4 linked regions of the Notamacropus eugenii genome follow. The protein of the gene in region 1 interacts with the protein of each later gene in a biochemical or structural test. Links are inferred from orthologs where the notes say so. Each region holds a gene or a part of one and is shown on either strand. Other genes may lie near its edges.

What was found.
Region 2: the proteins of LNX1 (region 1) and GJD2 form a complex in vitro, tested with the Homo sapiens proteins (2 studies listed by BioGRID and IntAct, with this or other methods). The link is inferred for Notamacropus eugenii from reciprocal best matches to the Homo sapiens genes LNX1 and GJD2.
Region 3: of the proteins of LNX1 (region 1) and ABCA1, one has a biochemical effect on the other in vitro, tested with the Homo sapiens proteins (2 studies listed by BioGRID and IntAct, with this or other methods). The link is inferred for Notamacropus eugenii from reciprocal best matches to the Homo sapiens genes LNX1 and ABCA1.
Region 4: of the proteins of LNX1 (region 1) and PBK, one has a biochemical effect on the other in vitro, tested with the Homo sapiens proteins (2 studies listed by BioGRID and IntAct, with this or other methods). The link is inferred for Notamacropus eugenii from reciprocal best matches to the Homo sapiens genes LNX1 and PBK.

What each region holds. Positions count from the first base shown.
Region 1 is NC_092877.1:105,074,842-105,082,582, forward strand, and holds the start of LNX1 (E3 ubiquitin-protein ligase LNX), read right to left. Parts: upstream 3,021-7,741; 5' UTR 2,891-3,020; intron 2,889-2,890; exon of another isoform or gene 2,805-2,888; intron 1-2,804.
Region 2 is NC_092878.1:19,548,181-19,556,126, forward strand, and holds the start of GJD2 (gap junction delta-2 protein), read right to left. Parts: upstream 3,014-7,946; 5' UTR 2,499-3,013; coding exon 2,428-2,498; intron 1,453-2,427; coding exon 555-1,452; 3' UTR 1-554. UniProt on the Homo sapiens protein: One gap junction consists of a cluster of closely packed pairs of transmembrane channels, the connexons, through which materials of low MW diffuse from one cell to a neighboring cell.
Region 3 is NC_092872.1:61,855,373-61,863,235, reverse strand, and holds the start of ABCA1 (phospholipid-transporting ATPase ABCA1), read right to left. Parts: upstream 3,002-7,863; 5' UTR 2,373-3,001; intron 2,289-2,372; exon of another isoform or gene 2,048-2,288; intron 1-2,047. UniProt on the Homo sapiens protein: Catalyzes the translocation of specific phospholipids from the cytoplasmic to the extracellular/lumenal leaflet of membrane coupled to the hydrolysis of ATP.
Region 4 is NC_092872.1:524,127,138-524,134,038, reverse strand, and holds the start of PBK (lymphokine-activated killer T-cell-originated protein kinase), read right to left. Parts: upstream 3,010-6,901; 5' UTR 2,827-3,009; exon of another isoform or gene 2,626-2,826; intron 1-2,625. UniProt on the Homo sapiens protein: Phosphorylates MAP kinase p38. Seems to be active only in mitosis. May also play a role in the activation of lymphoid cells.

The sequences.
Region 1 (7,741 bases):
CAAAGATTTCTTCCAGCTTTAGATCTATGACCAAGAAAGAGCATGGCTGATCCCATTTGCCTTCCCTGCCCCACCAAACTGAAAGTGGTCTCTGATCCTCACATTTCCTTAGAATAATACTTTATCTGAATTTCTTCTGTCAGATATACTCAATCTTGTTTGCTTTTTGCATGTTATTTTTTCCACCCTCAGTAGAATGGAAGTTCCCAGTGAGGCAGGGAAAGGGCCATTTTTCAGTTTTGTAGATATATCAACCCCTTGATAGGAGATCTTCCTGGGATTAATATTCACAGCCAGGTAGGCACTTAAGAAACCTTTGTTGAACTGTACTGAAAAACTCTGTCACCATCACATTACTCCAGACAACAATGGAGCATTTGCCCAGTGGTTTGTGGGATGCCCTGCATTTGCTGCTCTCTAGGGTGGGTGGAAGGAGAGGGGGGAAGGGGGGTAGCAGGTGGGACAGAGCAGACAGGGCACAGCAGTTCCTTCCTTCTGCTGGAGACTTGGTGGCAATCAGCTCAACCTCCTTTATGGAGGAAATTCAAAAGCCTTGCTTCTGCTTCACTCCTTTCTTTTGTTAGGTTTTATGGGAATTATCAATGATGAATTTAATAATTCACAATTTATAATAACAATTACTATCATGATTATTAAAATCTGTGTTCCCAATAGTCCTTTAGATGAAGTTCCTCAGGTAGCCCAGGGAAACTTTAAATAAAATTGGACTCCTTAAATGGCCATCTCTTAGCAAAGCCTCAATCTACTAAAAAAAAAAGTACAGATTACCCCAGTGAGCCACTGAACCATGACCTTGGCTCCATTCTAGAATAGAATGTTTTACCCTGAATCCCAATCACTGAGCACTGACTTTATTCCCCCACCCCCACTTCCATCTTTCCTCTCCCTCTCTCTCTGAATCTTTGTGACCTTCAGCAGGTTACTTCAAATCTCTGGGCCTTAGTTTCTTCATCTGTAAAATAAGGGCATCAGACTAGATAGCATGAAAGGTTTCACTCTAAATCTATGATTCTATCCTTTGTCCCCCTTTTTCCTTCTCTCTCCCTACTCACAATTCCTTTTCTCCCCCATTATACGTTTGCTTATAGACTTGCCCTCTTTAATATACATACATACCTACAAGCACAGAGAAAGAGACAGACAGAAAGAGACAAACAGAGAGGGAGACGGAGAGAAGGAGAGGAGAGAAGGAGAGATGAAGAAATAAAATTATTTGACTAAGGCTCAAATATTAGTGCTTAAAAAAGAAGTGAACTATTGAGCAAGGTACTACTGAACCACAGTTAACTGGAGGAAGATAATCCCACTTAAGAGAGGTTTTATCATTTTTCACATGCGTTACATCTTGGGTAGATATTGTGTTGGATCCCAGTTCTAATAAGGCAAAGGCAGTAGCCACCGGCCAAGCACATGAGCTCAGAAAAAAAGGACAGAAAGGTCAGAGAGGAGAACAATAGTGGTCTCCAAGGAGTAAGAGGAATTGGCAGCCACAGCAGGACTAGTTTGGCTCAGTGAGAGGTTACTCTGTCCGAAACAAACTTCCCCAGATTGTTTCCATTTCTACTTTTGGAGAATGAATGTGCACTTTGACTTTTGGGGTGGATGACTATCAGCATAATTGCTAACAGATCACTTCCTTACAAACTTTTTTTTTTTTTTTTTGCTAACTTGTCTCAGCAAAACAGCTGATGTAGGAGTTTGGAACGTTGCACCTCACAGTGCTGCTTCTCTGCCTGGATTTCCCACAGCCAGGCCCTGGCTCCCCAGTATTGTGTGTGGCTTGCACGCCACAGATTCTTCTCCCCCTCACCCCCCATCTAAATGCCTCCAGTGTAAGTTGGCACACTGAGGGTGAGGCTGCAGGGTGTACTAGCTGTGAGATCTTTATTAAGGAAACAAAAAAAAAATGGGTCCCAGAGCTAAAGTTACATTTAGGAGGGGAAAAAAAGTAAGGAAGGTCCTGGCAGAACAACCTACTAAACAGTTTATTTGCTGTTAAAAGCAAGGGGGGTGGGTAGCACAGAGGGAGAAAAAACCTTTGTACCCCATTTGTGAAGCTCAGAAAGGATAATCCATTTTACCTGAGCTAAAAGTTTAGTAAACACATGGCTAAGTATAAAATATTCTAATCCAGATCCCAGTCTCCCTGTGACAACAGATTGTACAATTGAGGACAAAGATCAAATATTTGCCTTCTTCAAAAAAAGTTTAGGGATCAGGAATATTGCGATGTGGGTGGGCTGGAGGGGACATAAGGAAAAACTGAACTTACAATCTTAGGAAGTATTGAGTGGGCAAACAAGAGGTGCTTTGAAAATACTTTTAAGGAAAAAAACAATTTTTTACAATTTCAGGTAGAAATGAACTGCGATAAAAGCAAAAAGTTAAATGCAGAGGGAGTTGACCAGATTCTAAGAGTGCCCTGCAGTCCCCACCTCACAACTGAAATTAGCATTATAAAAGTCTCCCCTCCCCCACCCTGAAATTAGCATAATGAAAACTTACCCTCTCCCCATTGAAATTAACACTACAGATTAAAGAAAGCTACAATTCCAAATCCAATTACAAATACCTGTCAACTCCTCTCACCTAGGCAGTTCCGTTTTATGGGGGGAAGGGAAGGAAAAAAAAATCAATATCCCAGAAAGGAAGAGGCTGAATTAATTGTTTCAAAAGGCAGCATTAGTTAGCCATGTGGCTTTAACCAGAAGATCCATTAGGCATCCAACTTCTCTCCCAGAAGGAGCTCCCCTCTCCTGAGAAAAAACTAAAGTTGTACTCACTCGGCCAATTTCTTTCCTGTTTCCTGTTCGGAACAATGTGACCAGTGGTCTAACTATCCAGAGAGAAAATGGGCGTTTCAACTCACCTTTCCAGGTGTTAGGGTTTTTGAAGCTGGCCACAGTCTGGCAGAGCACACGCATCCCTAGCACGTAAGTCAATCAAACTCCGTCGGGTCCGTCCTGACACCGCATTTGCCTTCCTTCTGCAGGTGTCTGCGGGGAGGAAGAATGAATGGTATTGGTTGGCCTGGAGCAGGAAATGTGTGACATCACACAGAACCCTGAAAAGATAATCTTCGTGGCTTCGACCTTAGTGAGGGAACCAGTCAGTAAATTCCTCCGTACCTGTCATTTACCTGAATACCTGCAGCCAGGTGCGAATTATTCAGTTAGAGTCATTTGCAGTCAGGTATTTACTTTCTTTTTTAAGTCACAACCCAACCTGCCTGCTCCTGGGTTGTTTTCATCACGACACAGCTCCCTAACTCTGTTAACAGCTCTGTTGACTGCTGAAGAGTTAAACGAGAAATTTAAACACCCAAACGTGATAGGAACTTACTTGATTTAACCCAAGCACACGTGAAGATCGGTTGCGTAGAAACTGAAGTAGTGTAGAGAGCTAGCTGAAGAGGCAGTCAAAAGACCCGAGTTCAAATCCAAAATCTGCTCCCTGCCAAGTGACCTTGGTGCCAGTCACTTAACCTCTGGGACTAAGTTCCTCTTTTGTAAAATATGGGGAAGGGAGGGACTGAATGATCTTCCTGCTCTACTTCTAGGACCCCATGAAATTCAATAGCTTTTTTGAATGGATATCATTTGCTCTTTTCCAGAAATCTATCTCTAATAGAATAATAAAAACTTTAAAAAACCCCAAAAACCTTTGTGTTTACTTGTATAAGTTTTATAACCAACTTATCTGTGCACATATTGTTTTCTTTACTAGAGTATAAGTTCCTCTGGGGCAGGGGTTGTTTGATTTTTTATTTAAATATCATACATACTGTGCCCAGCACATTGTAGACATGAAAGTGTTGTTAAATGAATTAATTTTGTTGGACCTCATTCATACTTCACTCAGAATGTTAGGGCTGAAAAGAACTTTAAGAAATCCTGTAGTCCTCCCTCCTTGTTTTCAGGGAAGGAAACTGAGGCTCTGAGGATTAGAGTTGACAGCTGGCAGAACTTGAATTCAAACCCACGTCTTCTGACTCAAAATCCAATTTTTTGTTTTGTTTTGGAGGGAGGGTGACCCTGCACCACACTCTTAACCAGGAGGATGGGCTGCTATTTTCAAATGAGATGTTCCAACTTTGAAAATGCATTTTTTGTGTTCCAATGACAGACTTAGACGTTTGTAACAGTAGTCATGCCCATTACAGCTTGCTCAGCTGGCACGGGGCAGTTACAATTCTTTGTAGGCCTGCAATTACAAGTAATTTAAATGATTCAGATTAGAATGCTATTAATAAGGCTACTTTGCCTGCTAGTTAGAGACAGGAAGGAGGAGTCAGAAGTTATTTCTATTCCTAGCTTATTGTATGACCCTGGGCTGTATGCCATTCAGCCTTTTTTCCACCAGGAAAAATAAGGGTAATGCCACTTACCTCATGACAAAATGGGCTATTACGAGAATATTAAAGAGCAAATGTGAGGGAGTGTGGTAAACAAGGATTTATTCATTCATTCATAATTGAATTTTAATATTTTATATTTTTGTGGCCTCTTTCCAGGATCCTTGAACAATTTAGACTATGCACTGGAATGTACCACCTGGGGAAACTGTGGAATCTCCTGCCCTGGAGGCCTTGAAAAATAGGGCAGCCTATTTTTCTTTCAAGAATGGCCTAGATAATTTTAGGGGGTTCCTTGCAACACAGTGGTTCTAAAAATTGCTTTTGCCCTCTTGGGGATAAAGGTGCTAGAATTCTCAAGTATTTCTTCTTTCTCCCTTCCCTCGTACTTCCCCTTATGCAAATGCTCATTTTAAAAGGCGTCATTTTTTTTTGGACTGGATGTATGATTTCATCAGTATTGGGAACTTCCCAGCAGAAAAATTGCCTTTTCCCATGCATATGGGCACCTTCTCTGTAACTATCCAACAGCTGCCTAGAGCAACGAGAGAGCCCTCCCTGCCACTGAGACCATCTCTTTACCCACTACAGCTGCCTTTCAAAAGGTGAGACTTTGGGTGTCGATATGATAACCAATTCAATAGAACAAATAGAGTAAGTACCTGACATAATGGAAAAGGCATCCATCGAACTTGGCATCTAAAAGCCTGTTTTTGAGACTCTGGTTCTAACATTTATTAGTTTTGTGACTTACTAGGGAGTCACTTAAACTGAGTCTCTATTTCTTTACCTGTAAAACTGGAATGCAGATACATATACCACCTGCCTCACAGAGTTGTGAAGAAAGCTTTCTGGAAAATGTAAAGTGCTATTCAAATGTGAGTTGCTATTAGTAGACATTACCTAATCTTATTTTTATGCCAATTCTGAGTTAAATGGGGCAGGTGTTTCCTTCTCATCTCAGACCCTCATAGTGCCCTTAGACAGTAGGAAGGCATTATGACTGTGCTAGAGTGCCAAAGTACCCTGGATCTGTAAGCTTGAATAAGTCTCTGCCTCTCTGAACCTTAATTTATTATTACTATATTATTATTAACAGTAATAATAAATAATAATAACTACCATTTATATAACATTGAAGGTGCCTCACTTCATCCTTGCAACAACTCTAGGAGATAAGTGCTATTATCTCCATGTAACAGATGAAGAAATGGAGGTAGAGGTGAAATGACTTGCCCAGGGTCACTCAGCTAGAAAATGTCTGAAGTAGGATTTGAACTTAGCTCTTCCTGGCTCCAGAGCCAACACTTTATACACCGTACTACCAGCTGCCCCATCTCTAATGTGAGGAAAATGGAAGACAGCTAGGCAAGTACAGTGGATAGAGCACCAGACCTGGAGTGAGGAAGACTCATCTTCCTGAGTTCAAATCCAGCCCCATATACTTACTAGCTGTGTGACCCTGGGCAAGTCACTTAATCCTGGTTGCCTCAGTTTCCTCATCTGTAAAATGATCTGGAAAAGGAAATGGCAAACCACTGCAGCATCTTTGCCAAGAAAAACCCCAAATGGGGTCATGAAGAGTTAGACACGATTGATCACTGACAGAATAACAAGGAAGGACTGGAAACAGTACTACTGGATTTTGAGTAAGAAAACCTAGGTTTGAATTCTTGCTCTGTCACTCATTACCTTTGTGACCTTGAGCAGGTCACTTGATCACTAAGAGCTCTAGGTTTCCCTATAATTAAGCCCTTTCTTTAAAACTTGAAGACAAACTAGGCACTAGGGATAAAAAAAATTAAGTTTCTGCCTTACATTCTATTGGATAAAACATGTATAAATAGGAATAGATATATGTACATAGATATTTCTACGTATTAAGTATACAAGATAATTTCCAGAGGTGTAGGGAGCATTTAGCAGCTGGGGGAATGCAAAAAGATGGATCTGTAAAATGAACAGAAAACTTCTTAAGGTCTTTTCTTGCTTCAAAAGTCTTTGATCTCATAGGCAAGGCAGTCTTTGATCCCATAGGCAAGGCACGGTGCTTCATATCAGAGAGAGAGAGATATCTATGAGGACTATTAAAAGCCCTTCTTGACTGTACCTTAAACTTTGCCACCTTAAAACTGAAATCCAATCTGGCTTGGGATCATCCAGATCATGCTGGAGCATACTGAATGACTATTGGGGGAGGGATAGTTCTGGTCCAGGACACTGGGGCAAATCTAAACTTTAAATGCCTGCGGGATATTTAACTTTCACTTACTTGTTTGTTTGTTTGTTTGTTGATTAGTACCCATGATTTTATCAGTAAGGAACTTTCCCTGGGGTGGACAAAATTCCAAGCCCAGACTGACCTAGCCTGCAAACTCTTTCAGGAAAGTTAGACGCTTAAGAAGATTCCCAAATGAAGATTGGGCCATTTTGCCGCCAACCAAAATTTATTTCCCCTTTCTTCATTTCTGCCTTTTGGAAACTGCTATGGATATTGGGGTGGGGGGTGGGGGAGAGAAGAGACTTGCAAAAAAGAAAACGAAAACAGAAATCCCTCTAAAAGAAAGGAGAAAGTACTAGGTTGTAAATGTGGCTCAAAAGTTGAGTACCTTCTTTTGCAATAATAAGGCTGAATACAAATGCTCATTACAAAAACAAAGGCACTTCTTTTGCTACTGGAAGGGTGTTCCCTTTGAGAGGGGAGAAGAACTTGTCTGCCAGCTTGTGTTAAACACTAGTATCTCTGACTCAGACTCTGCCCTCATAGAACTGACAATATAATGAGTGAATCAGACTGTACCCATGTAGGAAGTTGATCAAGGGAGTCTACTTGATATGGACACCTGAGAAAAGACCTATCATACATACATTTCCCCATGAAGAGTGTGGACATGCTCATTAGAACTTCAGTGAGAGCATATCAGAAACTGACAAATGCTACAAATCAGGACTTGATTTTATTGTTTTGTTGGTTGTTTAGAATAATAAAGGGATGGAGAAAATGTGAATAAATCAAATTAAACTTAAAAGCATGTCATGTATACATTTTTTTTTCTCAGAGTACTGTTTACTAAACCTTTAGCAGTACATTACTGGAGGCAGCCCCTTTGTACTGGGTCTGTGACAACAAATTAGAGTCAAAGAGAGAGAACTGTAGTAGAACTAGGAGGCAATCTAGCTGTGGATGTTGGGGGTGGAGGGAAATCAGTGTCTCTAGTTATCTCCATCTTTCAACACACACAGACTGAAGCTGTTAACAGCAAACATGGAGAATCAGTGGTAGGGGCTCATTGGCTGACACGCAAAAAATGATGACACAATTATACAAGACAGGTGCAGTAGAGAATTGTTTTAAAACAAACACAA
Region 2 (7,946 bases), on another chromosome or scaffold:
CAGTCCTAACAGCACACCCCAAACAATTCCCTCTAGTTGACTGGTAAGAAAGCCATAATAGGTATGCTGTAAGGTCATACATAGAAAAAGCTGGCAAGCTGTCCCAGGGTGTTGGGGAGGGGCTTGCTGGTGGAGAAGAGGAGCACTTTAGAGATGCCTGTCCTGTTTTCCAGGAAGAGGGGATAAACTGAGGAGGTTGATCACAATTTTTATACCAAGAAAGTATTTCACTCCCACCATTCACCAATGTCCCGGGCTCAGCCAAAGCTCAATGTGATCCTAACCAGTAACCTTTTGTGTCCGTTTCTAGTCAGGTCATACCAACCCATGGGGTAAAGAGGGCCCATTTCCACATGAAGCCTTTTCTTTACCCAGCTGACTCTATAGAGTCAATGGTGTATCATTTGCCCGTGTTTCTACTGGATTGGAGTTCTTTTCCCCTTCTTGAGGCCATGGTCTAAAAGTTTCTCTGCAAGCAGCCCTATCCCACTTTTGGATGGAGAGAGTGAAGCTACTTGCTATCTCCCCAAGTCCTCCCCACCCCATCTATCCTTTCACACATAGGCAGAGTCACTTGATTGAGTCCTGCCAAAATTGGGAACACTGACCCGAGGCAGGTCCTTGTTGCGGATCTCATAGACAGACTTCCTCTTGGCCTGTGCACCACGCACAGCCAGCTTAATCTTGCGCCAGCCCAGGTGGTTGAGTTCAGCCAGATTGAGGACAACACAGATGCCACTCACAGCAAACATGAATACGAGGAAGACTGTCTTCTCTGTGGGCCGGGAAACATAGCACTCTACCTCCTTGATACAGGGGTAGCGGTCACATTCATACAGTCCAGGGACACTGAAGCCATAAAGGAAGTATTGGCCTACCAGGAACCCAATTTCTAGGGCATTACGGAAAACCACCTGGATGATGTAGAAGCGGGAGATGCCCTCTTGCCGACGGAGCTTGGAGCGTGCTGCTGTGCGCAACCCTGATGGGTGTGGGGCCAACTCCTTCACCTCTAGACAGTCTGGCTCGTTCTCCTTGCTAGTATTCTCTGTGTTCTGTAGTACTCCATTTACAATGGCATTTTGAAGCTTCTTATTGTCTTCTCGCTTTCCCCCACCACTGCCCCCACCCCCAGCCCCTCCAGGACCCCCAATCGATTCAGGAGGGTCCCTGTCCAGGGCGAGGAAGACAGTAGAGTAACGGCGTTCCCTCTGTTTGGCAGACTGATGCACTGAGTAAGTGATGAAGCAGAGGCTAGGGGTGCACACCATGATGATCTGGAAGACCCAGTAGCGGATATGAGAGATGGGGAAGGCTCGGTCATAGCAGGCTTGGTTGCAGCCTGGCTGCAGGGTATTGCACACAAACATGGTCTGCTCATCATCATACACAGTCTCACCCACTATGGCCACGATGAGGATCCGGAAGATCACCACCACTGTCAGCAGGATCCTGGGAGGGAAGTAGGGAGGGAGAAAGAAAGAATGTCATGGGCTGAGAGTCACTCAGTGGCCTGCTGCTGGCTTAGGGATCCCCTGCTCCTCCCATCCCATCCCTGGTGTTTCCCTGGTGCTTTGGCTGAGGAGCTGTCCACCATTCAGTGGTCCTGAACTAAGAATCTGAGAGCAATTATGCTTTCAGCTTTCTGACCATCTGGGATTTGTACACCTCCGTTTCAGAGGTCCCGAGTATATACGCAAATATTTTGGAGACGTGTGTATATGCAAGAGATTCAGATACATCTATACATAATGCATCTCTACATAATACATATATATTCATTATGTATATGGCATAGACACACAATTACATCAAATGCAAACTAGGGATATGTATCGTGTGAATGGACTCCATAAATGTTCATTCTCTATGTAAATATTATCCCTAATGTTATATTTAAAATAGTCTATTTATATGTATAAACACACAAAAATAATCCTGGTGTATGTGTGTGTTTCTCACACTATAAGCTTTCTTGAATAAATCGAGGAAAGAAGCTTCAGCCTCAAAGGATGACTCCATCTCCCTCTTCGCCCTTCTCTCTCCAAACACCATACTCCCTTCCAGCTTCTATTTAGGAAACAGAAGGGAGATCAGCTCTGACTCGGAGCACTAGGGGACCCAACAACCTGTGCCCAGAGTTCCGGTTCTGATGGGGGAAGAGTTACCCCATGGAAGGGGCCTCCCAGCAAGAGATCAACTTTCAGGAAGATCCCGGGGAGAGAAGGAAATAACTGGAAGAGAGAGGGGCAGTTCTGGGCTTGGGATGGTCCCGCCATATCCAGAACCCATGGGCCCAGGCAAGAGGGAGGGAAAGACGGGGGAGGGGAAGGGGCGCGAAAGAGGACTCGAATCGGTGAGGAAAGGGGGCCATGGGAAGGGGTGGACGCTGTGAGGCTCTGGTCCAGCGCGGCTTGGCTCCCTTACCTCCCAATCATAGTGGAATGTTGCTGTACGGCGGCTTCCAGCAGCCTCTCTAAGATGGTCCATTCCCCCATCGCTGTGCATTCGGAGGCAGCAGACAAAGACTGGGCAGCGCTGGGCACGTCCCTGCTCCTGGCCCCCTCCCCAGTCACCACCCGACAACGGGGGCTAAAGACCAAAAATAAGAGCAAAATAAACCTAATCCACTACTCTTCCCCCTCCCTCCCTTTTTTCTTTTTCTTTTTTTCACTTAAAAGAGAGGGGGGAAATCCAAGCGAGTCCAGAGAAATGGGGTAGCAGCTGGTGCTGTCCAGGGACTAGGGCACCAACCGGTCAGTTGCTGTCCAGCCTGGGGAAGATTCCCTGTGTGGCTTCGTCCAGGCAGGGGGTGGGGGCGACTGGGAGAATGTACTGGTCACTAGGCTGCTGCTAGCTGGAAAGAGATCTCTTGCTCCTGTTTCCCAGTCGGGTGGGTTGGGGGGGAACCAAGGTCCCTGCCTTGTCTCTGTGTCCCAGGGCAGCCCGACCCTTGTCTTGCAGCCTCAAACAGTGCAGGCTGGTGCCTTACTTCCCGCCTCCGAGGCCGGGCCGGGATCGCGACCCTGAATGCACAGAGGGAGCAGACTGGGAATCCGCGTCTTGCCGCCTCTAATCCTCCCTTAAGTAGTCTCTGCTTGCGTCACTCCAGGTTGGTGGAGGGGAGTGAGCGCCGGCGTGTTGTAGCTGCGCTCCCAAGCCCGAGGGGCTGGGGACTTGTGGAAAGGCAGGAGAAGGGTGGGAGAGAGGGAGGAGGCTGAGTCTTGGGTGTCCCAATTGAGCGAGGGGGGAGGGGGCAGGGAGTAGGGAGGAACCATCTCAGCTTCCCTAACTGGCCAACTGCAGCTTCCTCCTCGCTAAGCGGCTCAAAGCATTCCCTCCCTGCCCGCCCAGGTAGCACCGGGAGCTCACCTGCCCGCCAGACTACGCCTGTAGCCAGGGAGAAGATGGGAATGGGAGGTGAGGAGCTTGGGGCCATGAGTGAAGGGATGAGGGCAACTGTGTCTTTTCTTCTCAACCATTCATTAGTATTCAGCCCCATTTTTCTCCTTTCATCTAGTGTACGCACAGGGGGCTCAGAGTTGGGATTTCCCCTCGAAAGACGCACGAATGGGGCTGATTTAAAAGCTCTAGCAAGGATGCAGGTAATCGCTGTCTGTGAACAGGGCTGGAAATAAGGGGCTCCGTGGGCCTGTGGAGATTTGGCGACATAGGTGCGAATACCCTTAGGGGGACAGTGAACGTAGCTGTGAACGGGCCTGTGTGTATGTCTATGGCGAGAGAAGTATGTGTCCACTTATGTATATGCATATGTCTATCTGAATGGGTACTAACGTATGTACAGTGCAGTGATTGTATGTGGACGCCCCCTTATTTATGTTAATAGGAGAGCTAAGGAACAGAACCACTTCTGACAGATTGTGCATAACCACCCTCCTAATTTGGACAAGGATAGGCACAAACTTTGTCTAAACCGGACATATAGCATCACTCCTACTTGCTTCTTTCTCTTTTTGCACACCCACTGCCTTCCCAAATAAGCCCAGCTTAATTTCTGAGCCCCTATTTGCTTTGGGTTGCCAGATCTGCCTCTGTAAAATGTTCAATTAGCGGCTAGGAATTCTTTCACACCAGGATGCTCGTTAGCTTAAGGCTAGACATTTGAAGATATTGATAGTTTTCAAAGTTTTGGAGTATTTTCCACCAGCATAAGAAAAGAAAATGCTTGGTGTTCCTACTCTTAAAAGAAGCCTTGTGAATGTGTCAGCATTTCTTCTTAGAAGCATAATGCTCTCAGAATTGTTTCCATCTATATGGGAGATCACATACATGTGTGGCTTAAACCACACAGAGAAGAAAGAATTACGAGTCTTTTAGTTGCAGCAGACCCTGAACTTTGTTTTAGGTAACAATCTCAGACTTTTGAGATAATGACAATTCTGAAGCATAGACTCAGTATAGAAAAAGGTTTTATTTGTACATGACTTCAGGCAAAAGGAAAAATCATTTCAAAACCTAGGGAGCTTCATTTTTTCTGTTCTCCCCAGAGTTAGCTACTATTGTTGTTTAATATTTGATAACGTAAGAGCACTTTCACAGCAGTTCACACAAGAAAATAAAGTAGAACTAGAATAGGGAAGATGTAAATGAAACATCAAGTGATGATTATGAAGTTAGAGTGGATATCCTTCACTGATCTTTTACTTCTTTTGTCTCTGACAAAATGGGGCTTTAATAAAACCCTGCTCCTGATGACTGTTGAAGGACTTGATGTGTTTTGATTCTCACTTTAAGGCATCAAATGTGTTGGTGAAGAGGAAATAATGACTGCAAAGAGCTAGAATGACTTCGTCAAAAACAGATCATGTCAGACTAACCTTATTTCCACTTTTGACAGGATTACTAAAGTATTAACTCAGGAGAATGCTGCAAATATAGTTTATGTGGATTTTTTACAAAGCATTTTAAAAAATGTCCCATTCTATTGTAGGAAAATGGAGATATATGATCACATGATAATTCAGTTATATGAATCAGAGACTCGTTGATTGGCCGCATTCAAAGATTAATGGCTAATAGTTGGATCAGCTTAGTAGAAGGTGTCCAGGGAAGTGTCTCGGGAATCTGTGTTTGGTTTTGTGCTATTTAACAACGTTTTTATCATTAATTAAAGGCAGAGATAGCATATTTATTGAATATGCAGCTAACACAAAGTTGGTAATATTACAAAGAAAAATTAAGACTCAGAAAGACCTTCATAGGCTAGAGGAGTGGTTTAAATATAATCAGATGAAATTCAATAGGGACAAATACAATGATTCATTCTTGAATTCAAATAAATCAGAAGTTTAGCGTGGGAGAAACATTCCAAGATAGCAATTTGCCTAAAAAAAGACCTGGGGATTTTGGTGGACCACAAGCTCTATATGTGTGAATAGTGTAATATGGCAACCAAAAGAGCTTATGTAATCTTGGGTTACATTAAAAGAGGCGTAGCCTCTAGTAATGAGGAGATCATAGCGCCATCAATTTAAAGTTGGAAGGTACCTTAGAGGTTATCAAGTCCAACCCTATTATTTCAAGAATAAGGAAATCAAGTCCCAGAAAGTCAAAGTGACTGGTCACACAGGCAATGGAGCCAAGATTCACATTCAGGCTCACTAACTCTGTGATTCCCTGTCCTTTCCACTGTACCACACTAGCTCTGAACAGTTCCTCTATATTCTTGCTGGTCAAACCACAGATGAGTATTGCGTTCAATTAGCTCTGGATGCAACTGTTTAGTAAAGATATTGGTAAGTTGGAGAGCCCTTAGAGAAGGACAACCAGGGTGCTGGAAGGCTTGGAGTGTAGGTAACGTAAGAATCAATCAGAGGAATGCAATGTATTTACCCTGGATAAAGGAAGATTTGGAGGTGGAGGAGGGTGAGGTAGAGAACATAATAGCTGATTTCATGCATTTGAAGGACTGTCATGTGGAAGAAGAATTATATGGACCCAGAGATTAGAATCAAGGACAATTTCACAGAAATTTCATAGAAGCAAATTTAGGGTTGATGTCAGGAAAAATTTCTCCACAATTAAAGCTGTTCAAAATTGGAACAGGTTGTCTCATTGGTTTTGCCTTCACTGGAAGTCTTCAGTAAAGCTTTGTTCAGTGAACATTTGTTGGGTATGTGATAGTGGGATTGCTGCCAGGGTTCCTTCCAATTCTACAATGTTGTGATTCTTGTGCTTCTTCAACTAAGACTCCTAGAAAGATTCTCCAACATTCTCTTTTCCCATTTTATCCCTGTTCTCTGGTTCTCCTGTTTGGAGTATGTTTTGATGAAAGGGATTTCAGTAAATGGGAACAAGTAGGTAAAAAAAGGTAAAGAAAAATAAATCAAGGATAACCTGAAGTAAAAGTAGTGGTAATATTTTTATCTGGTTGTGACTGAGAGTGTTAGAATGTAATGCATGATACATTGATCATTATATAAATATATGTAGTTATCATTTCATGTATTTGAATGTGGTCCTAAGAACATTCATTTTGTCTCAGTTTGTGGTTTCATCAGGGAATCTTCTCAATGTAGAAACTCCCTCCCTTGATATAAATCAGATACTCATCTGTAACTTATCATCCTAGGGGCTGAGATAGACTAACTTCTCCATGATCCCACAAAAGGTATATGTCAGAAAAAGGACAGGAACTCAACTCATCCTGATTTCAAGACTAGCTCTCTATCGATTACTTCCCATAGACTATTAAAAAGATATATATCTCTATTTATACATGCAGAGAATTTTAGTTTCCAAGACCACTCATCTGATATGACATGAAGTCAACTGTGTTTACATAAGCCAACAATTTGTATCCCACCACACATAAAGTTTGCAAAGATATTAATTTATAGTGTTCTATGGCAACTGTGGTCTATGTCCTTCCTTGTCCTTCCTAGGATAATGAATTTAGTATAGAAAAGCACCTCAACAAAATTTAGAATAGAAAAACACCTCAGTAGTACAGGTCCAACTTCTTCATTTTGTAGAGTAGGAATCTGAAGTCCAGAGAGGTTAAATAGTTTGCTGAAAGTCATAGAGCTAATAAGAGTCTATAGGAGGATTTGAAGCCAGGTCTTAAGTTTAGGACTCTTCACAACAATGTAATGGTCATTCTCATCTTCAGTTTAAAACTCTGCTCATACTGCAGTATCTTAGTCTGCTATGTAGTTAGATTGGCAAGCTTTGGAGTTTGTCCATTAGTATACCTATCTTGGACAGACACTTCAAATAGACAATGAGCTAAGTCCAGGATTGAACAGGAGCAGAGCAGGTCTTTGGAAAATTGTCATGTTCTCTTACTAATGCCTTGATTCTATCCAAAACAAAGACATCATTTTAACACCAATATTCTTCTGGTATTGCCATATAGCTGTGAGTTATTGAACACTACAGTCTCCAAAGAATCGAAGCTAAGATCACCCAAAGAGCAGTGGAAAGGCAAATGGGAGTTGTGAGCTGGCTATAGCATATTATGAAAAACAAGCATACAGAAGAAATGTTGCAACATGTACAATCAAAAAAATACGTGATAACAAAAGATGGGCTGATCACATATTGATAGTGAGGCATAACCAATGGCTGACCACATAAGCCATTGGAAGCCTTGACATTACTTCAGAGTATACAATGCCATTCTAACTTTCCTGCCCCTTTTTGCTTACCTTATCTCTTTTCAACATAGCATATACACTCTCTTGCCTCCTATGATCTTTTCAATGTCTCTCTTGTCAATCTTGTCTTTTTTTGTGGGGAAAAATGCTTCCCATATTTTACTTACTCTATGATACCTTGTGTGGTAGATAAATGTAAACAGTTTTTCCAGTATAAAGTCTTTCTGTTTAGATTTTCAAGACTTCAGGAAAATATATTCATAATAGCCTCTGTTAGGTTACTCCATCCCTGGTCAGGAGCCCACCATCTTATTAAAATATAATCCA
Region 3 (7,863 bases), on another chromosome or scaffold:
GAGGCATATCAAACAAGCAGGACAGCTTTGAATGCTACATATTGACTTAATTATTACAGGTGGCTACGGTGGATATAATGTTGGACAGAGTCCGTAGGTCTAAGTTTGAATTCAGAATCAGCCATTCTATAAAATAAAATATTAATAATAGCACTTAATTCACCCAAATGTAGTGAGGATCAAATATATGTAAGGCACTTTGCAAGCCTTAAAGCACTATGTAAAAGCTAATTTTTATTATTATTAAAAGCAAACTGTATATACATAAAAGATTTTAAGTTTCAGGTACAAGTCTTCCTGTTCTACTACGGATATGTAAATGTACCTTTATTTGGAGTTGTTAAGTTCAGCAAGGAAAAATAAAATTTGAAATAAAATGAGTTAAGTACCTTTTTTTTGTTTCGCATTTTCATTTCAATTGTTCCACACAGTGGAAACTGCCCAATTTGTCCCGTAAGAAAGTGGCTGTTTTGTTTTGTTGGGAATCTGGGGTGGAGAGAGCAAACTCACCCTCTACCCGGTGTTATTGCCAAAAGGTGAGAAAAAAGCTATTACAGCTGTGATTTCATTTGGTTCCATTTTAATAATTAATGAATTGTGAGTTGCTAAAGTTATAATTATTTTGTTTGCCGGTCAAGACCCAGATCTCCATAGGGTGTCACAAGAATAAAACAATGAACTCAGTCTCAGGCCTGTGCTCGCTTTTCGAAGTATCCTTCAAAAGTATCACTTGCCTTCTTCTAAAACCTGATTATCTCAGTGCTGAAAAGGAACAGTAACCAGGTTACTGTGGTCCAGAGTCTGTTTCATTTCTGCTAAGTCCCCAAAGGAGGGAGTCAAAAGACAATGAAAGCGCCCAGAGCTGTGGACTTCCACCTCCGGGAAACTTCCAAGATCTAGCCAAGGATGGTTGGCGGCGGAGAACAATCACGAAAATCAACAAAAAAGGGGGCTTTCTAAAGCTTCCTCCTAGTCTGCGCCAGCACAGTTTCCCAATCCATGGCTGACTCAGTCTAGATCAGAAAGGAAACACAGAACTTTGCATCTACAGCCCAGACCCGCTGTCTGCCCCAATCCTCAAGTTGTCTCTAAGAGTCTGTCGGTCCTAGTGGCACTTAGATGGGACCTCTTCAAGCACCCCCACTTTCCCCCCCACCCACATCCCCCCACCCACCCACCCACCCACCACTCCAGATGGAATCCCCACCCCCAACAAGGAGGTCTGGATTCTTTAGCCCAAGAGGAGGGGGAGAGAAGCAAGGGGAGGAAGTAAAGGGGTGGGGAGAAAAGGCTTGGGGGGGGGGGGTGCTGCTGCGCGCCCCCGCCCTCCCCACGCTATGTGGCAGAGCTCGGTGTTCTGCGCAGCCGGCCCGGGGTTACTCTCGGTCATTCTAGCTGCGCCGCCGTCTCCACACAGAGACAAGCAGCAAAGACCAAAATTGGGGGGTAGGGGGTGGGCTGGAGTCAAGGAGGTAAAACAGAATCGCACCACAGATTACATTAATCCACCATCTCCCCCCACTTTTGAAAAATATGCATATGTTCACCAGGTAAGATCTATTAGCAGAACCACACAAATGTTAATTAGAAATTATTAGAACTATGCTGAAAATTGGAGCGGGGCGGGGGGGGACAGAATGATCAAAGCCATGAGAAGGGGTTAAACTGTTTAAGGAACGTCCCGGGTTACACAAGAAAAGCTTTGTCAGTTACAAGTAATCAGCAAGAACACAGCTCGATGCCTTTCTTGTGGGTTGCCCAGAGGAGCAAGCGAAGGAACCGTCTCCCAGCTAAAAAAGCGCACGAACCAGAAAACCAAAAAGGGGGTTCGGGAAGAGTCCTGTATCCCTCAACAAAGGCGAGGGAGTTCCTGCTGCACCAGGTACTGCTCGTCCTCCCTTCGGTCCACAAAAACTCTGAATTCCGCTCCCGCAGGTCTCCCCCCAAAAGTGGTTCGCGTGCTCCCCTTTAACGTCCTTCTCCCACCCCACTTTCCCCGGACTCAGCCTCGCGGTCGGCAGGATGGACAAAGAAAGGGGCCCCGTACCCTTGGTCCCCGCGGATCCCAAGGGATGCTCGTCTTTCTCTCAGGAGGAGACAAGCCTCCCGACCTCGTCCCGAGAAGAGAGTGATGACGAAATGGAGAAGGGGGAATTGTTTTCATGCTCCCAAAGCACAGAAACCCTGCCCAGAGGCGAGAGAAGGCAGGCAGATGTGGGGGTCCTCCCCTCCACCCAACAGTAAGAACAAATCACAAAAATCAGACTTTTCCTCTTCCGAAAGAAAAAAGGGGACCCCCCCTACACACACACACACACACACACACACACACACACACACAGCAAAATCTTAACTTGTTGGAGAGCTCTTACCTGCTTTCCCGCTTTTGTTTCTGCCACTCTCTCCCCTGAGCCTTTGGAAATATTTGTGCAAAACAAAGCAAAAATTTAAAAATAGAGAGAGAGCCAAAAAATGGGCTCTCGCCCCCGATAACCCTTTAGTGCCAAGCTCTGCTTTAGCTTTCCTGCGGGCAGCAACGGGCTCCCGCTTCTCTGCTTAGCACACGGTCCTCAGTCCCTCTCTCCCAGAATTAAGGGTTTTTTAGCCTGGACTAGTTCCTTTTATAGATTCGGCTGCGCTCAACAGCGGGGTTATTATCGGTCAAACTCTGTTCTCTTTCTCTTCCCCACCCCCTACTTCCCGGCTCTCTGTTTATGTAGTTCAGTCACTCACCGAAAGCACGTGGAGGAGCGACACGCCCCTTAAAAGGGCGACAGGCAGGAGACCCGCTCTCCCCCAACCCCTTCCCCCGCCTCCCCTCCTCTCCCTAGCCGCTGAGTGGTGGATGGGATGAACTGAGGCAGGTCTCCAGGAGGGAGTCTGCCCAGGATCACTTCCAGAAAAGCCCTCGCTGTACAATGGCCTGCGCTTCGTGCTCCCGTCTGCAGTCCAGACAGCCCGACGTTTCAGATAATCCTCTCAAGCTCCAAAGTATCTGGAAAAACCAAGCCACTTAGAAGTAAAGGAGAGAAGCAAGGAAGAAGCCCACTTTCTCCCCTTCCTCTGGGGGGCGGGGGCTTGAGTGGGAGCAAACTGCTTGACAAGCCCCCCCCTGCCCTCCCCTTTTTTGATCCTAGTTTCGTTTTCTGTGCTTGGGGACCCAGGCTAGAGACAGACCTTGAGGGTGGAGGGCGCTTTCTCTCATTTTCTCCAACCCGAACGACTTAACTCTTAAAGTCAAGGGTGTAATTAAAGACTTTCTCCTCCCCCTTCAACCCCTTCCTCGAATCCTGCCCCTTTGCCCAGAGGGCGATACTACGTCAGAGTCTGCTAGTGCAAGTGAGAGACCCACTTGCTCTGTCTTCTCCCCCTTTCCCCCCTCAACAAGCACTCAGGACATCCTCCTGTGTGGGAGAGGGGAGGAAGGGTTTGTGTGGTTGAATTCCTGAGAGACTCCACACACACACACTTGGGGCCAGCGTCCAGTTTAGAAAATAATCTTTATTCTCTGTACACAATGACAAACAAAACATATTGTCAACATGCTCTTTTTGCGTTGTATAGATGATTCATAGAGAACCAGTCCCTAGGCTTGGTAATTACATTATAACTCTGCCCAGCCAAACCCTTTTCTGAACAAACATTACGTCCGCAGATCTGAGTTCTAGTCTCACATATGCATTTGTTTTAACTCTGTGACCCTGGGCAAATTACTTAGGAGTTTTCTGCCTTATTTTCTTCATCTGTAAACTGTAGCTAATAGTAATATCTATCCCCTACCTGCCTCACAGGCATGTTATGAAAATGAATAAAACATTTGTTGAAACACTTTGAGCCTCTCAGAAGAAAGGCTCTATAAACAGAGAAGGTACTATTATATGGTTGGTTGGCAGCCATGGCCCATAAAGCAGTGTTGCTCTGATAGGATGTTTTCCCATACATTGCATTTAAAAACCGAAAGCCAACAAAAATTTATGAAGTTTTGCTACATCTGAGCAGGCAGAGCTGGTCTAGTTTTATGAGTAAATAGAGTTGGCCGGGTCTTGCCTTAAATAGCCTGAGTGTTGGGCTTGAAGGGATGATAGAGATCATGTCAGAGGAAATTGAGTATGTGTGAAAATCACCCTGGTTTGGGAGTAAAATGATCAGGGCTACAATCCAGGAGCCAGCTTCTTTTCTCAAAGTTACTAATGACAGGTTTCTCAGTGAGAAGGGAAAGAAGAGAGGGAGAGAGCAAATTTGGAACTCAAAACTTTAAAAAATAAATGTTAAAAATTGTTCTGACATGTAATTGGAAATATATGTATATACGTGTGTATATATACATATGTGTGTACATATATAAATATATACACAATGTGTGCATTTGTACATAAATGTGTCTGTATATACCTACACATATATGTGTGCCTGTGTATATAGCGTGTGTAGGTATGGGGGTATATATACATATATGTATATACACAAACACACATACCTACACACACACATATAATTTAAAGTTACTAGTGTCAGGGGCAGCTAGGTGGTGCAGCGGATAGAGCATGGGTCCTGGAGTCAGGAGGACCTGAGTTCTAACACTTCAGCTTGTCTGAAACTGAAGTAGGCAATGAGGTGGTGCAGCAGATCAAGTGTTGAAGTTGGAATCAAGGACACCTCAGTTTAAATCCTACGTCACACATTACTTAGCCATGTGACACTAAGCAAGTCACCTTAACCTCACTCAGCCTAGGTTTCTTCATCTCTAAGAGGAGGACAGATAATAGTGTTTTCCTCACAGCATTGTTGTGGGGCTCCAATGAAATAATGTGCAAAGCACTTCACACCCCTGCCAGTTATTGTTATAATTCCTCCCTGTACTGGCAAGTAAAATAGAATCTTTTGCTGTTTTTGTTTTATTAAAAGTACCTCTGATTGAATAATGTGATTGGGGAGGATCTCTCCCATCTTTTGAGGGGACCTTGATTAGGGGAGTTGTTGTGTAGGAAGGTCCCAAGTACCTTTTGTTTTTTCTATTGAGGCACTGGGTCAGAGGGTTGTGTGTGTTCATCCTTCATTGCTAGAGAAGACCATGCCATCAGAGAGATGATAACATGACTTGCACTTGACTTTGTTTTGAGTGAAAAGAGGGCTGTGCAGGTCACCAGCCTCACTTCTCCTCCAGAGCCATCTGAATCCAGTGACCAGATATTCATCAGGATGACTGGAGATGACTCAGGATGAGGCAATTGGGGTTAAGTGACTTGCCCAAGGTCACACAGCTGGTGAGTGTTAAAGTGTCTGAGGTGAGATTTGAACTCAGGTCCTCCTGACTCCTGCACTAGTGCTCTATCTACTGCACCACCTAACTGCCCAAGGTCAGAGGGTTATAAATACTCAGAGGATGAGGTTTTACTTTGAGAGGCTTAGTTTTTGGAAGAAGGTCTATGTGCCAGATGAGACTCTGGGAAGCCACTAAGCAACCCCTCCCCAGCTTTTTTGAAAACCCAGATATTGATGCTTCCCTGTCTGGTTAAGATGTATGTATGTTAGTGGTCAGGCAGTTTGGAAGCGCTATCTGTTGATTTTTGACTTCTCTGAAATATTGACTTTGATTTTTTCTGATACCTGTGCTTAATTAAAGTGATTATTAATCACTTTTATTATTATTAATCACAATTAAAGTAATTGTTAAACCCTCAAAAGTTGCATTTCCCTTTGTGAATGCAAATCTAAGAACCTGTGATAGCAGGTCCCCCTGTATATGGTGGGGTGCTTAGTGCTACACTCCCCAAAAAACCTGTCCTTCCTCCTCTAATTTCCATTCTTATTGATGGCCCCATGACTGGTTAGATCACCCATGCTCAAAACCTCAGGGCCAGGTTTGGCTCTTCCTTCTCCCTCATTCCCTCAATCTCCTGCATTGCCAAGTTCTTTTATTCTGTTCCTACAATATCTTTTATCCCTCCCCTCCTTTATACTCCAAGTGTCACATTCCAGTTCAGGCCCTTGTCATCTATTGTCTCCCTACTTTTGCCCTTGCTCCTAGGCCTTTATCTTTCCAATCTGTCTTTTACGGAGCTTCCAAAACAAGCTTCCTAATGCACCAGTCTGGTCCAAGTCAGTAACATTGAGCACTTCATCATTTCCTACAAAGTAATACCAATTCCCACTTCTGACATTCAAGGCCCCCTGCAATATGGCATTATTTCACTACGCTCTCCTTCATATATACATATTCCAGACAAATTGATGCACTGGCTATTCCCTAAACTGATCCTGCTTTCTCCAAACTGTGCATTTACATCATACATACTCCATGACTAGAGTGGATTCTGTGTGATTTGGACATATTTCCCTTCATTCAAGATCCAGTTCAGATTCCATTTTATCAAGGAGGGAGGAGGCTTGTCCAGTGCTTCTGGTGAAAATCGGTACCTGTCTCTCCAATCTCTCATCCATTTCTAGTTGACCTTTCTTATACACTTATCACACATGATCAAAGGTTTAGAACCTGAAGTAACCTTAGAAGTCAACTGGTCTAACCCACTCATTTTACAGAAAAAGAAACAGACCAATAGAGGCTAAGTGACTTGACTAAGGGTTATACAGACAATAAAGAGCAGAGCCAAGTTTCAAATCTAGATCAAACCTAGGATGACAAGTCCAATATATTTGCCATTATACTGCACTCTCTTATAGTTACCATATATACATGTCACCACTAACTCTATGATATTGTAAACTCCTTGAGGGTAAGGACAATGTAATTTTTCATTTTTGTGTCCCTGGTACCCACACATAGTGGGGACTTAATAATTTTAAAATTCTAATTTGTTGTGAAGAACACACTTTGTAAATCATAAAACATTATATATAAATACAAGTTATTATCATCTAACCTATTCCCTCTCAATTTTGAAAATGAGATAATTGAACCTCAGAGAAGTTGTGATTGAACATGGTCACATAGGTAGTGAGTGGTGGAAACATGATCAGAGCCAATGAAAACTTGGCACAATAGATTCAGAATCAAAGGACCTGGGTTTAAAGCCTACCTCTATTGGTAATTAACCATGTGACTTTGGGAAGTTTTCTCATCTGTAAAATGAGAGGATTGGATTGAATGACCTCTAAGAACTGTCCCTTCCAGTGTTAAATCTAAGATCCTACAAACCCCACATGTTGCCTCTGCCTCCCACTTGTCTTAAATCCTGAAATTCCACTACTGAAAGATTTATTATTTTAGTTCCGGAAAGCATTTTGATCAACTTGTCCAGAGAAATATCTTGGTGTTTGATCAACCATCTGAATAGCTGAGGGTAAGGCTCTATGGTGTACATAAATAACTTAGGGTAAGTTGGTTGGGGCTTTAGGGAGGAAGGGGTCTGGGGAAGGGATACAGAGGTAGGGAAAAATGAAGAAAAGACGAATGTTCCAAAGACAAATTTCACCTACTTCATAATTCTACCCAAGTCCTGCCCTGAAAAGTGCAGAATTCATGAACCACAGGCACCAAATCTTTGCCCAGACAAAGAGTAAAGGATAAGAAAGGGTCGAAGATGACTGAGGCTTTCAGTCTGACTTCCTGGAAGAATCATTTCTAGTGTATATGTTATAATTTGACTGCTTCCTATGATTAAAATAGCTACCTCTCAATTTCTATGTCTATAAGACATGGGAAAGCAAGGACACTGAGGCTCCAGGTACTTATATGTCTTGGGGAAATTGAAGTGACCAGAGAAGAAAGTGAAGAAGAAATTGTCCAAGTTGAAAAAAGACAGTAGAGGCCTGCTATCTGTACCATTAGAGGGATTACCTATATCAGGGATGGGGAATCTGCAGCCTCAAGGACACATGTGGCCTTCTAGGTTCTCAGGTGCA
Region 4 (6,901 bases), on another chromosome or scaffold:
TTTATTAAGGGAATTTATTCTGTGAAGTTTGGATTCTGTGGAAGGGCCACAAATGGCCTTGAGGTTGCAGCATCCCCACCCCTGGAGCACATAGTAAGTATTTAATGAATGCTTGCTGACTTGACTGTTCCTTAAGTCTTTTTGGTATTTTCATCCAGCTCACAGCCACGAATCATCGGTTTCCTCCCAGGCTCTTTCCTTGGCCCCCTGCTCTTTTCCCTTTCTGCTATATTGCTTGGTGATCTCATTTGCTCCCATGGATTCAGTGACAGTCTCTATGCAGGTGATTCTCATATCTATCTGTCCAATTCTAACTAACCTCCAGTGTTCCATCGCCAGCTGCCTACTGGACACCTGGAAATTGATGTCTTGTAGACTCTTTAAGCTCAACATGTCCACATTATCTTTTCTGCCCACAAATCTTACTCTGAACTTCCCTATTTCTTGGGAAGGCAGCACCATCCTCCAGTCATCCAAACTTACAAATGGTGTCATCGTTTCCCCACATACTCACTCCACTTAGCCAATTTGCTGCCAAGTCTAACAACTTTTATATACATTCTCTTTTCTCTACTCACACAGCTGCCATGATAGTACAGGTCCCTATCACCTAAAGATACTCTGGGACTTTTGCAACAACTTTCTGGTTGGCTTCCCTGCTTCAAGTCTTTCCTCACTACAATTCATCTACCACAGAGCTGCTGAAATGATCTTCCTAAAGTAGTCTGACCAATGTTGTGGTCACCACTTCCCACCTACACTCAATAAATATAGTATATACTTAATGTTTACTGGCTGACTACATCTAGAATCAGATATAAAATCTTTGTCATTGAGAGCCCTTCATAATTTGGCCTCAAACACTTCTCAGTTTTATTATATTTTATTCCCTTTCATATGCACTAGTACAACTGAACTTGTCTTCTTTCTGATCTTCACAAACTATTGTTTCATCCCCCATCGCTGTGCCTTTGCATTGGCCATTCCCCATGCCTGGACCTGGTTTCCTTCAAGGTTCTGCTCAAGTGCTACCTTTTTCAGAGATTTTTGCCTTGATCACCCTCACCTTACTCCCAAACGTATATACACACATATGGACGTCTTCTGCCCTGGCTAAAATATAAGTTCTTTAAAGGCAGGGACCTTTTTACTTTTAACTTTCATCTCCAATGCTCAGCATTTCCGGGCACACAGTAGACCCTTGGCAAAGGCTTGTTGATCAATTCAGCATCCCAGTGACTCCTCAGATGAAAAGTGCCTTCCCTAGACACCAAAATATATTCTCTCCCACCTTGTAGAGAGCAGGCAGTACCTAAGTGAACTTTACCACCATGAAGGGGCTCTCTATGAATCTCTTCCACTGAGCTCTTCCTGGAAATTCCATTTTGAGGGAGGGCCCAGACCAGCCATCATTCTAGGGACTTTGCCACCATGTCCCTGTTCTGCTACCTTCTCTCCCCAATCCCAACTTGTTAGTTCCCTGCTTATGTATTATCTTCCCTCCTTAGGATGTTAGCAATTTGAGGGTAGGGACTGTCTTCTTTTTTTTTTTTTTTTTTGCAAGTTATTTGTATCCTTGAGGCTTAGTACAGTGCCTGGCACATAATAAGTGCTTAATAAAAGGACCAGAATTTAAAAATACCTTACAGGACCAGGCTGCAGTCAGTCAATTAACAAAGTACATTTTTTAAAAAATACACAAGAGGAAAGAAAAAGTAGAGATAGAATGAAATATTTTATTTCAAATTAAAATAATAAATTTTGTTGCATCAGTTGTCATGCCTGATCCTTCTAGTGTTTTAATCAATTCTCATTGACTGCCTTTGTATTTACAGAATTTAGCATAGTGCCTGGCACACAGTAAGCACTTAATAAATGCTCTTTTACTCATTCATTCCCCAGCCAGATTCTAAAATAGTCTTATAAAGACACAAACTATATCATAGGGTATAGTGTAGAGAGAGCCTTAACTTCTTTAATGCTATAAAGCCCATTGATCTGCATCAGTGGATGGAGTGAATGTGTACACTGCTGAAATCACATTTCCCACCCTCCTAGAGTGCCAGAGACTCATCAATTTCCTACAAAAGGAATATAACATTTTCTCTCTCTGTCTTTGTTTCTGTGTTTCTCTTTATTTCTGATACTTTCTATTTTTTCTCTCTCTCTCGATCTGTTTCTCTTTCTATACTTCTGTCTCTCTATAAGTTACTGTATCTGTTTCTTTCTCTCTTTGTCGGTCTCTGTTTCTCTCTGGGGGTCTCTCTACACTTCTTCTGTTTCTCTATGTACCTCTCTCTCCTCTAAAACCCTACAGGAAAGAAGGAAAGAAAAAAGCAGGAGGAAAAAGAATGGCTGTGAGACCACAGGAAAGGGACGGCAGGCTCGCAGAGCGAATGTCAGGCTGGAAGCGGCTTCGGGGGCCCCCGGCCCGGACCCCAGAAGCCAGGACGCCCCTCTCTCCAGCCGCGCTTCTCCATCCTCCCGGTCTCAGGACCCCTTTACGTTCTTCAACAAAATAACCGAGGGCCCCTAGAGCTTGTGGGCCGATCCCATGCGGGAATGCTTATCCTTGTCTTATTCATTTCAAGTCACTCATTACCCGTTCGGCTACCACAAACGCACTTTACTCCGACGGTGACCGCAGTCACCCGGCTCCGGAGGCCCCGGGTTCGAGTACCAGCTCGGCCGCCCCAGCGGGGCGAGCCCGGGGCTTCAGTCTCCACACAGCCGAGGGAAGGGGGCTGGGACTCCCCAGAAAGTGGGAGGGGTCCGGCGGAGACAAGCAAGCCCCGGCCACCCTCCTCCCGCGGCTCGCAGACTCACCTGAGCAGGTACGGATCAGCGGGGGCGCCCGGACCCGCCTCCGCGCGCAGACTCCACCGAAGCCGTTGAGATTCGAACGCCCGCCGCCTTCAAACCCGCGCGCTGCGGCCTACGGGGCGGACAGAGGGACAAGCTGCGTGGGAACGCGTTCCCTGCCCGCCTCGCTCCTTCGCTTTCTCTGCCTCTTCCCCTCCCCATTGATTACGGTTCATTATCATGTTGGAGTTCTTGTTTGTACACACAGACATATTCACATATCATCTGTTCTATCTGCAGTCCACCTGTAGATCCTGCTCTATCGTCTCTCCCGATCTCTCCGGCTGTCTCTGCCCCTCTTCCCCTCACCTTCCTGGCGGAGATCCCACCTTCTGCCCACCTTCCCTAACCCCTACTGGAGCACCTCCTATCTGGCCTGTGCGCAGCCCGCTTAGTCTGTATTTCTTCTCCATGGAGGCAGAAACACTTTTTGCTTTTTTTGTCTTCATTCTAGGAGCTTAGCACGGCGCCGTTCACATTGTAGCTACTTCATAACGTTTATTGATTATGATTGATTGACGGACCTAGGCATCCCTTTGTATCTACCTAAGGAGCATTGTGCTCCTTATCATCGCTCATCCATTTATCCATATGTATCTATTTATCTACCTATAGTTACCTAAAGAGCATTCTGTTATCTATCATCTATTATCTCTTTATCCATCCATCCGTCTTTATCCTACATGTATCTATTCATGAACTATCTTCCATTTACGTATACAATCTATTATCTCTGGATATGTGAGTGATTATCAGCTCTCCATCATCTCTCTTTGTCCCTATTTTCCTTACATCAACCTATCTCATCATCTATCTGTCCATTTTTCTCTTTTTTAAAACTTTATTTAGTATCACCCTTTACTGAAAGCAATTTAGACTTTTTTAACTTCCTTTTTTTCAACTTATTTATTTAATTTTAGTTTTCAACATTCACTTTCAGAAGTTTTAAATTTTCTCCCCATTCCTCCCCCTTCTCTCTCCAATGCAAGGTGTGATTAAATTTTGTTTCCACAAAAATTAAATAAAATTATAATTCATATTGATGGTTAATGTCAGAGAAAAAATTGCTTGTATAAGGTGGTGGGTGGGGAATGCTAGTCCTGGAAATCAGCGTATCTACTACAGAAAAACCTCAGTTTATGAATTTAATTCATTCTGAGATTCTGTTCATCGTGTGATTTGTTTGTATTGCAAAGCAAATTTTCCCTTAGAAAATAATGTAAAGTCAGATGACTGGTATCACATCCCCAAACATATTCATGTAAAAATAATTCTTTACAGTTTTAAGTTTTTTGTCCCTAATGGACCCAAAATACAATAGCAATGATTAGTATACAATATAAACTGAAAATGAAATAAATTAACCTACACTTTACTTTTGAGAACAGTCATGGCTGGTATGAGAGAGAGAAGAGGGAGGAGGAGGAGGAGGAAGGGTTATTGCTTGGTAGAAGGATCTCCTATGAGAACATCAGAGATTTCAACCTGGGAAGTGTTTTCTCTTATGTTACTTTCACTAAAAGTAAGACTAACACTACTGCCTTCACTTATTTTGCATTGTTTAGAATCACTTTCATGTTTTGACTTACTGATTGTTTTTTTTTACATTCGCTTCTGACTAGGAATCTATCTAACAACACTTGTCTGACATTTTTTTGATTAATTTGTTTTCAGTTTTCAACAATCACTTCCATAAGTTTGAAATTTTCTCCCATCCTCTCTCCGCTCCCTCCCCATGACAGCATGCAAATCTTATATGAGTTAAAAAAAAAAAATTGCCCTAGTTGAGTGTCCTCCCTTCTCAAGCTACTCAAGTCCAAACATGATGTTTGTACTGCGAATTTTTGTTTGTCCTGCAAGACAAATTTTGTGAAAAATTTTTCCTTGTTCAGCAAAACAGGTTACTTGAAAACTGAGGTTCTAATGTACTTTTCTTTGTTCTGAAAAGGCCTCTCCCTGCATACCAAAAACAACTGCCAGGCCAGCTCTCATCCACAGAGGATAAGAATGAGAGCCATAAACCCACTAATGAGCGTTGAAAAGGTACAGGAACCCAAAGACTGGAAGTCCTTGGGTGGGCCATCCTGAAAGAATTCATGGACTCAATCATTCTTGAGGTCAAAGTGGTAAAGATTTATTACACTTTTCAGCAGGCAAGAGTTCTCAGGGAACCTACAACCTTAGAGGGGTACAATTAAAGTTTATATAGAATATTCTATAGTGAAGTATGTGCCAAAATTGCTAACTAGGTGATTCAGGGTGGGATTAGGGAGTGATTAAGGAGTGGTTAGTTCTTAAAAGAACATGCACTTTTAGTATCTACTGCACAGATATTTTACCCAGAGTTCATCAGAAATAGCCCAAAGAGGGCTTACATGGGTGTGGTTTTAGGCCTAAAATGTCACTAAGTCAACTAATGGCCAGGGTTGACTTGAGAAATACTCAGGCTGCTCCCATCAATATCTTGTTAGAGCAGATAAACTTAAGGAAGTATACACATTTCTAAGTCTAGGATACATATGATTGGTCAGTGAATAGTAAATATCTTTATGAACCAGTACACAGCCAGTTCAGCCAGTACACAGTTGGTTCAAACTAATAAATCCTATAGGTGCTGCTGGCTGCTATATTAGGAAGAAAGATCTATGGCAGGCTGTACTTGGGCTGGGGAAAACTGCCTGGGATAGTGTTTTGAGGCTAGGGAGAAATGTGATTTTAGAGAGAAATGTGATTTTAGAATTGGGATCCAAGCACAGGCACCCAAGCACCCCATCACCATCTTTTTTTATTGATATCCTGGAATCTTCGAACTCACACTTTTGTCAGTTCTCTTAGCAATTGAAAGCTCTTTAATCATGCTATCTGATGTAGACAAAAGGGGAAGGGACTAAGAGTATTCCTTTAAAGAATAAAGTAAATGAAGATGTAATCAAGAGGTAGGGTTTAGTGAACCCTGGAATGTTGATCAATGGGGTTCAAGGCAAAAATTCAAGTCTGGATGAATTATAAAGACTTACATAACTTGCATTATGTGTTCTTACACCAGCTTGAAGGCCAAGTCATCTGTCTTTTAAATGTGAAGTAAAACTCTTTTTTTTTTCTAAATTCCCTCATAGCCTTGTAGAATTCTTGGTTATTTCTAACACCAAAATGGCATGCAATCTGATATGGGCTCTACACATACATTCCTATTAAACGCATTTTCACATTAGTCATGTTTCATAGAAGAATTATAATGAACAGGAGAAACCATGAGAAAGAGAAAAAGAAAAAAATAGTCTGCTTCATTCTGCACTCTGACTCCATAGTTCTTTCTCTGGATGTGGGTGGCATTTTCCATCATGAATCCTTTGGAAATATTTTAGGTCCTTGCATTGCTGAGTAGGGCTAAGCCTATCAAAATCAGTCATTGAACACTATGGCTGTTACTGTGTACAATGTTCTTCAAGTTCTGTTTACTTCACTCAGCATCAGTTCACGTAAATCTTTCAAGGTTTTTCTGAAGTCTGTCTTTTCATCATTTCTTATAGCACAATAGTATTCCATTACATTCATATACCACAGCTTGTTTAGCCATTCCTTCAATTTCTAGTTCTTGGCCACCACTAAAAGAGCTGCTATAAATACTTTTGTACATGTAGGTCCTTTTCCCATTTTTATGATCTCTTTGGGATACAATTCTAGAAGTAGTATTATTGGGTCAAAAAGTATGCACATTTTTATAGCCCTTTGGACATATTGCTCTCCATAATGGTTGGATCAGTTCATAGCTCCACCAGCTATGAATTAGTGTTCCAGTTTTCCACATCTCCAACATTTATCATTTTCCTGTTTTGTCATGTTAGCCAATCTGATAGGTGTGACGAGGTACCTCAGAGTTGTTTTGATTTGTATCTCTCTAATCAATAGTGAATTAGAGCATTTTTTCATGTAAATACAGATAGCTTTAATTTCTTCCTCTGAAAACTGCCTGTCCATATCCTTTGACCATTTATCAGTTGAGGAATGATTTGTATTCTTGTAAATTTGACTCAGTTCT